2 linked regions of the Drosophila melanogaster genome follow. The protein of the gene in region 1 purifies or fractionates together with the protein of each later gene. This does not show direct contact. Each region holds a gene or a part of one and is shown on either strand. Other genes may lie near its edges.

Region 1 (3,375 bases):
GATACATTGTATAACATCGCCCTGAGTGCAGTGGAATCCAGGTGGCAGACGCAATATACATATTTAATTATCTCGCAGCCCGCTGACGTAGAAATGTAACTAATAATCAATTTTCAACGGATCATCCTCCACCCCTCTTAGTAATCTTTCAATCATGGGTTTGACGCGCGTGCTGGTGAAGGATGGCGGTTTCGGCACCCAGATGACCGTCCATGTGGGTGACTCTGTGGATGGGGATCCGCTATGGAGTGCCCGCTTCAATGCCACCAATCCGGCGGCCATTATCAGCACCCACCTGGACTTTTTGCAGAGTAAGCAATTGTTTTCCGGTAGCAATTGGCAACATACTAACTGAATTTTCCCCTTGACAACACCAGATGGTGCCGATATCATTTTGACCAACACCTACCAGTCCAGTGTCGATGGTTACATGGAGTACCTGGAGCTGGACGAGGAGCAGAGCATCGAGCTGATAAAGAACACGGTCCGCCTGGCCCACATCGCCAAGGAACGCTATCTCACCGAGTGCTATCAGGCGCAGCTGTCGGTGCAGGAGGGTAAGTTGACATCCATGAGGTCCAGCTCGGGCGGGATTAATTTAGATTGTGGTCAAGTGAATGATGTGGTAGGGTCATTACTTTTAATACTTTCTTTAATACTTTATTTTATATATAGTAATATTTACCAATTATATATTCCAATTTATTGTTTTTAAAGGATACCCTTTGATCATTGCCTCCATTGGACCCTTTGGGGCCCACCTGCACGATGGCTCCGAGTACACCGGTAGCTATGCCGACTTTGTGCCGGCCAAGGAGATTACGGACTGGCATCGCGTGAGGATCGAAGCGTGCTTGGAGGCTGGTGTGGATGCGCTGGCCATCGAGACGATTCCCTGTCAAATGGAGGCGGAGGCCCTGGTGGAGATGCTGTGCGATGATTATCCGGATGTGAAGTTCTGGGTGGCCTTCCAGTGCAAGGATGAGAATACCCTGGCGCATGGAGAAACCTTTGCGGACGCGGCGAATGCTATTTGGGACCTCTTGGCTGAACGAAATGCCCAGGATAAGTGCCTGGCCATCGGAGTAAATTGTGTGCATCCGAAGTTTGTGACCCCGCTCTTTAAGAGTTTGAATGGTGACCGCGAAGTGGGTGAGCAGATACCGTTGGTGGTGTACCCCAATAGCGGAGAGGTATACGACGTGGTCAACGGCTGGCAGGGAAGGGAGCACTGTGTGCCCTTGGCGAACTACGTTCCGGAGTGGGCGCAACTGGGGGCCAAGGTCATTGGGGGATGCTGTCGCACTTATGCGAGGGATATACGCCACATCGGGGAGGCCATTCGCGACTGGAACAAACTGAAGAAGCTCTCATAGGGATGAACTTCTAAGCTGGGGATCTCAGTACCTTCGAAAAGAACAAAGTAGTTATCCATTTAGTACTGTAAATAAATGTATTTAGTTATTAAGGCATACAACTTATTTTAATAAAACAGAAAAGACAAAAGACAAAAAAATACTTTTTAATTTTCTAAGATCCGAGATAAAACATTAATAAACAAATTGCTCTTAATTCAAATCCCTCAAAAGTGACGCCTTCCATTTTTTTCAAAAGTTAAAAAATGTAGTAATGGCATTCAATGGATTTTTGCATCTCATGAGTAAAATAATTTAAGGAGAATTTGAATTCTAAATATGTGAGACTTCTAACCGTAATGGGCACACTATAAATCAAGCTACAAAAAATTTACATAAATTAAGTTCTCCTTTTTCGAAATGTATTTTTTTACACGTGAATTGTGTAGAGATGGAATGATGGAGAAAATACTATATTTGTAATAGTGTGGAAAACAATCGATGGTCATCGACAGTACTATCGATAGTTGCCAGTCGTACCAACGCCGAAAGTGACAGCCAAAAAAGAGAACCAGCTGTGGAGATTTGCAAAAATTTCGGCAATTTTGAATTTGTACAGGAGCGCCTAGTTAAATACACACAAAATGTTGATCAAAGTGAAGGTTAGTGTGGAAGATATGGAGTAGCAAAAAAGTAGGATAAAGATAAATCACAGCCATCGTGCCCAGCGGGCACTTTGAACAACAACAAAATCGTCGAATATTACAGTCAATATATGTGTGGCTGGATTATTAATGTAAATATGTATTATCTTTCCATTAGACCCTGACCGGCAAGGAAATCGAGATCGACATTGAGCCCACGGACAAGGTAGATCGCATCAAGGAGCGCGTGGAGGAAAAGGAAGGCATTCCGCCCCAGCAACAGCGTCTTATTTTCTCCGGCAAGCAAATGTGAGTCTTTCTGGCTATTGGTCATTGATTTTAGCTTATTTCGCATGCGATCCCCCCCAGGAATGACGATAAAACCGCGGCGGACTACAAAGTGCAAGGTGGATCCGTTCTTCACTTGGTATTGGCTCTGCGAGGAGGTGATTCAATCCTAACACCTTGTGTGTAACTAGCGTGTTCATAAGTGGAAAACATTCATTTAAAATTCACTCAAATATATTAAGCTTGAGAAGCGTCATATGGAGAATTAATATATGTAAACTAAAAAGAAGTCTTAAAAGTGGTTTAGAAGAAAACAAAGTGTATTCGCATCGGAGGAATTTAGACAGAATGGATTGGGGCCAACCGGGTCCGTAATAAAACATGTTTTTTTGTAAGCCAACATCTAAATCATTCGAAAAAAAGAAGAACACTCCACAATGGTGGGCTAAGGTTTAAAACATATCAAAAAGGCATTTATTTTGTCTCAGTGGCAGATTGTAAGTTCAGTTCTGTTTAACAAAACGTCCGACTAGCAGGTGATTCTTTGGCGTACACTGTTCGGGCTTTAAGCGTGTGAGAATGACCTGGTAGCCCGCCTCCTCCGCCTGCAGCAGGCGATCGGTGTCCACCACGGACATGCAGTGGAGTCCTTGAAGCGTGGTTTCTGGCTTGCAGTTGGTTGTCCCCATCTCGTGTGCCTGATCTGCCGAGTGGGCAATGTACAAGTAGTCCTTTGTGTCTAACACCTTTTGGAACGCTTTGCTCAATGGGTACGAAATGTGAGGCATGGGCTGCAGAGAACCGTAGCAGCAAGGACAGCAAACAAAATGTGCCTTGGCTCTCCGGCACTGCTGCAAAACGATATCTGTCGCCGTTCCACACGCGTGCAAAGAGGCCCCGATCTTGAATCCTCCGACAAAGTAATCTATGTTGCATTGGTAAAAAACGCAGTTGGTCAAACCCAATTCGTTTGATCTTTTCTGAGCTTGAAGCAGGGAGAAAGCTTTGTTTTCCATCACAATAATGGTACAATTTGGCAGCTTGAGGGCCAGCAGTATGGCCAAATGCCCTGTGCCGCTGCAGAAGTC
Region 2 (4,635 bases), on another chromosome or scaffold:
TTTAGTTCCCGCACCAACATGGGCATTAGTCCTTCATACAGCATGAGTTCCATGCTTAAGTTATCATATTGGAAGTTGTAAAGTATGTGAAATAGCTGTTGGGTATGAAGAAAGCCATTATATATAGCAGATGTCAAGAGGGATTTGGTTTCCATCTCACCGATGATCGCTCGCTCTGCGAGTTGGAGTCCCGGATCATGGCCACCAGCTTGCGCAGTGCCCCACATCTCCGGATCTTCGAGCGGCTGCAGGCATCGGTGGATAGCGTCAAGATTATGTTGATGCAGTGCCGGCTCTCGCTTTCGCTAAGTGGCTTTGCCATGTTCACAGCCATGAGCATCTCGCAGGCAGCCACAATGGCATCCGCAGTGCTCAGCATGTAGAAGGCGAAGGGATCCTTGCAGAAGTTAGAGAGGATTTTAAGGGCAGAGGCCCGTTGGTCGCCGTCCTCCTTTACGAAGCACACAATGGAGGCGAGCGAGGTATTCCAGGAAATGGACTAACAAGAAATGTTTATTATGTACTACGTTTTGGAGAACTTAGAAAACAGTCTCACCTCCCAAACTTTCAGTCCAATTTGCTGCGCGGATATCAGGACCAGACACTTCAGAATCTCGAGGGCCAGCTCAACGGCCGCTTCATTTTCCTTGGGCAGCGCATAGTCACAGTTCCTTGTGGAATTCTTGAGCATCTGGTGGTCAAAGATGTCACTGCGAACACCCTCCAAATTCCGGGCTACCTCCTCGAAATACTTCTCACGGTGCTGGTTCCTCTTCAGGCCAATCAGCGTGGACATCTCGATGTCCGGAACGGGCTCCTTGGATGCCTCTTCGTTCTTCATCACGGCCAGAAAAATTCGCATCAGCTGCTGGAACCCATTGGCCATGAGGAAGTACTTCAGGAACTGGCTGCTGGCCAGAAGGAAACGGCAGACGCGGAATGCCATGATGCGGGTCTGCACCGCACTGGTGGACTCAATGATGTGGCAGATGGCCGGTGCAATGGCCGCATAGTGCACTGTGAGACACTGGGACGCCTTCTTGCTCTTGGCGATGTTTCCAAGCATCCGGCAGGCGCGGCACTGGATCAGGGGATTAGGTATGGTCTTCAGAATGGTCACCAGCGGGTGAATCACCTTGCATTCAACAGCCTTAAAGTGGAAAGTTTTAAATTTTTTTAACCGTTGTGGTTCAAAATAAAGATAAAAATGTAATCTGATAATCCCACCTCAATGCAGGACTGTTCGTCGGTGCAGCAGTTCCCCAGTATGCTCAGTACCACCTCCATTATCTTTTCATTCAGCTTGGTGATCAGTCGCACCTGGAAGACGCAATTAATAATGATTTAAAAATCGATTCGAATAACGATCCTATGTGAGCGGCAGTGGCTGTCAAACCACCATGAGCGTTGTGACTCCCAAACCCACCATGATGTGAACGCCCCCAGCAGTGCGAAATAAAACAATGCCATTTTTATCCTTCACCAGATCGGTGCGCAGCTTCACCAGGCATTTGTAAATGACTGTTCGATCCGTGGAGGTCTTTAGCACTTCCAGCATGCTCTCCACTTGCTCTGGTGTCCAGAACATTGGTAATTTTCTTAATTTTTAAACAAATTGAAACAATTCAACAAATTCTACAGTGCGTCTCAAACCTCTTTGAGAGTGTGACCGTGCATAAGAGCGTATTTTACGGTATTTTACGTTATTTTTCGAAAATCCAGCAGCGGTCTGCCTTATTTATAAACTGATGTTTACGTTTTAGCTTTGGATGCGAATTCGATTCTACAATAATAAATGGAAGCAGGCCTGTTTTTTATGTAGATTATACAAGTTCCCACAAAATTACCTCCAAGCTTTTAATTTCAAATTATTTTAATATTTTTTAAAACCCATTTAATAATTTTTCCTATATTTATTTACTTTCTTTGTTTACCGTAATCGTGACACGAGGGCTGAAGTGTCATCACCAAATCAGGCGCTATTTGGTGTTTTTCAACTGCCAACAACGGTCTTACAGAATTAAAGACAAAAACGCAATCGACTAAAGTAATTAGTTAATAACTAGCTGTCTTTGTTGCGCGTAAACACGGACTTTCCCCAGAACGAAGCTAATTTGCCCAAGTCGTGCATCCAAGCTTTTCACAGATTTGGAAAAACCTGTTTCGCAGTGCTTGTGACTCATCAGTTTTCGCAGGCTCAAGGAGAGAACTTAGCCATGGACGCCACTAACAATGGAGAATCCGCCGACCAGGTGGGCATCAGGGTGGGCAATCCGGAGCAGCCCAACGATCACACAGATGCCCTGGGCTCCGTGGGATCCGGAGGAGCGGGTAGCAGCGGCCTGGTCGCAGGATCCTCGCATCCTTACGGCAGCGGAGCCATTGGGCAGCTGGCCAACGGGTACAGCTCACCCTCGTCCAGCTACCGTAAGAATGTAGCCAAAATGGTCACCGACCGCCATGCAGCCGAGTACAACATGCGCCACAAGAACCGCGGAATGGCACTGATCTTCAACCATGAGCACTTCGAGGTGCCCACCTTGAAGTCTCGCGCGGGAACCAATGTGGACTGCGAGAATCTGACTCGGGTGCTCAAGCAGCTGGACTTCGAAGTGACCGTGTACAAGGACTGCCGCTACAAGGACATTTTGAGGACAATCGAGTATGCAGCGTCGCAGAATCACAGCGATAGTGATTGCATCCTGGTCGCCATCCTGTCGCACGGCGAGATGGGCTACATCTACGCCAAGGACACACAGTACAAGCTGGATAACATCTGGAGCTTCTTCACGGCCAATCACTGCCCCTCGCTAGCCGGCAAACCCAAGTTGTTCTTCATACAGGCCTGCCAGGGCGACAGATTGGATGGCGGAGTGACCATGCAGCGTTCTCAGACGGAAACCGATGGCGACTCCTCGATGAGCTACAAGATTCCAGTGCACGCCGACTTTCTGATCGCCTACTCGACGGTTCCTGGATTCTATTCGTGGCGCAACACCACCCGCGGCAGCTGGTTCATGCAGAGCCTGTGCGCCGAACTGGCGGCCAATGGCAAGCGGCTGGACATCCTGACCCTGCTCACATTCGTGTGCCAGCGGGTGGCCGTGGACTTTGAGTCCTGCACCCCGGACACTCCGGAGATGCACCAGCAGAAGCAGATACCCTGCATAACCACCATGCTGACGCGCATTCTGCGTTTCAGCGACAAGCAGTTGGCACCAGCCGGACGGGTTTGATGGCTAATGGTATGGATCAAACGGTGGGTACGGCGAGGTGTGTGATAAACCAAGTCGCAATTAAGTTAGAACCTCATGGGCTATCGGCCTTGCAGCATATTTTTTATACAACACTTTTTTAACCTGCCCAATTGCTCGACGAGATTGGTGCCACTGCCCGTTTTATTTTATTTAGGCACAAAGTATCTTTCGATTGACATTTATTAATGTCGCATTTACTCGTCTGTATTTATATTTTTTGGGGTGGGTAGAGTAGATCGATTTAACTTAGAAATCTAAGAGGTTTTTACTCCGGCCAAAATTTTTTGACAATTTTAACTTGCCAACTGAACAAAGACGATCTCAAAATTTTAAATTCTCTACTAAACCTTATCATAGAACAACTTGCGCCTCTTTGATTCTCGATCAGGAATGTCGGCCCACCCTTATCTATATCTACCTTAGACCATTTACAGACAAGACCTTTTTACAATTTTATACACATAGATATCTTTATAGTATAAGCCTGTGTGTCATGGTCGTCCAAAACGAAAACAAACGATTTTAGCCTGTAGTCGAGTGTTTTATGAACAATATATACTATTTCTATGCCATTTGTACTCTTATATAATGCACATTAGCAAATGTTCTCCTTTCAAGTTAACCGCTAATAAATCCGATTGAAAACAATGAGAAATCAATGACCATTGGCTGTTTGCTGTTGACCCTGTCGCCTCTTTTGGGCGCCAAGTTGAGCGGCATTTCCCGAAAAGGTAGCACGCGGAGACGGAAAAATAGACGAGTCCAGCCATTGGCTGACCCTGATCGTACGATTTCAGAGCTTACAATCACTTTATTCTTAGAGCTGGACACAACGAGAATAAATTCCAATTTATAGTTCACTTAAAGCACACGGGTATGGGTTGAATTCAGAGAAATTTAAAGCCTGTCAGCAAATCCGACTCTCCGGCTAGATAAATGCACGTTTCTGATAACTTTCGACTAATTAAAAACGTAGAATATGCGCTCACAATTTTCTAGTTGAGGAACATCTAGATGTGGCCGCCCTCCTTTAGCTTGGCCACCAGGGCATCCACGTCGGCGACGGTGGCGCCGGCCTGGCGCACAGGAGGATCCTCCACGGAGATGACCTCGATGCGGGGCGAGGTGTCCACGCCGAGATCCTTGGCCGTAACCTTCTTCAGCGGCTTCTTCTTGGCCTTCATGATGTTCGGCAACGTGGCGTAGCGAGGGGTGTTCAGCCGGAGATCGGCGCTCAGCACAGCCGGGGTCTTGGTCTTGATTGTCTCCAGGCCACCATCAATTTCACGCGTGATGGTCAGACCGGCGTCTGTCTTCTCGATCTTGTTGCAGAAGGTGCCCTGCGGCCAGTCGAGCACGGCGGCGGTCATCTGGGCCG

The links.
Region 2: the proteins of Nedd8 (region 1) and Drice purify together in Drosophila melanogaster (affinity purification with western blotting, with the first as the bait; one study listed by BioGRID). This does not show direct contact.

What each region holds. Positions count from the first base shown.
Region 1 is NT_033779.5:18,950,340-18,953,714, reverse strand, and holds Nedd8 (Nedd8 ubiquitin like modifier), read left to right. Parts: upstream 1-1,877; 5' UTR 1,878-1,999; coding exon 2,000-2,017; intron 2,018-2,177; coding exon 2,178-2,308; intron 2,309-2,368; coding exon 2,369-2,474; 3' UTR 2,475-2,709; downstream 2,710-3,375. Other genes in the region: CG10621 (uncharacterized protein), read left to right, coding at 155-311, 378-557, 718-1,376; CG10428 (uncharacterized protein), read right to left, coding at 2,791-3,375. UniProt on the Drosophila melanogaster protein: Ubiquitin-like protein which plays an important role in cell cycle control, embryogenesis and neurogenesis. Covalent attachment to its substrates requires prior activation by the E1 complex Uba3-Ula1 and linkage to the E2 enzyme UbcE2M.
Region 2 is NT_033777.3:29,797,682-29,802,316, forward strand, and holds Drice (death related ICE-like caspase), read left to right. Parts: upstream 1-1,976; 5' UTR 1,977-2,216; coding exon 2,217-3,236; 3' UTR 3,237-3,903; downstream 3,904-4,635. Other genes in the region: Rnb (R and B), read right to left, coding at 1-95, 161-499, 557-1,150, 1,228-1,320, 1,427-1,588; Etfb (electron transfer flavoprotein beta subunit), read right to left, coding at 4,268-4,635.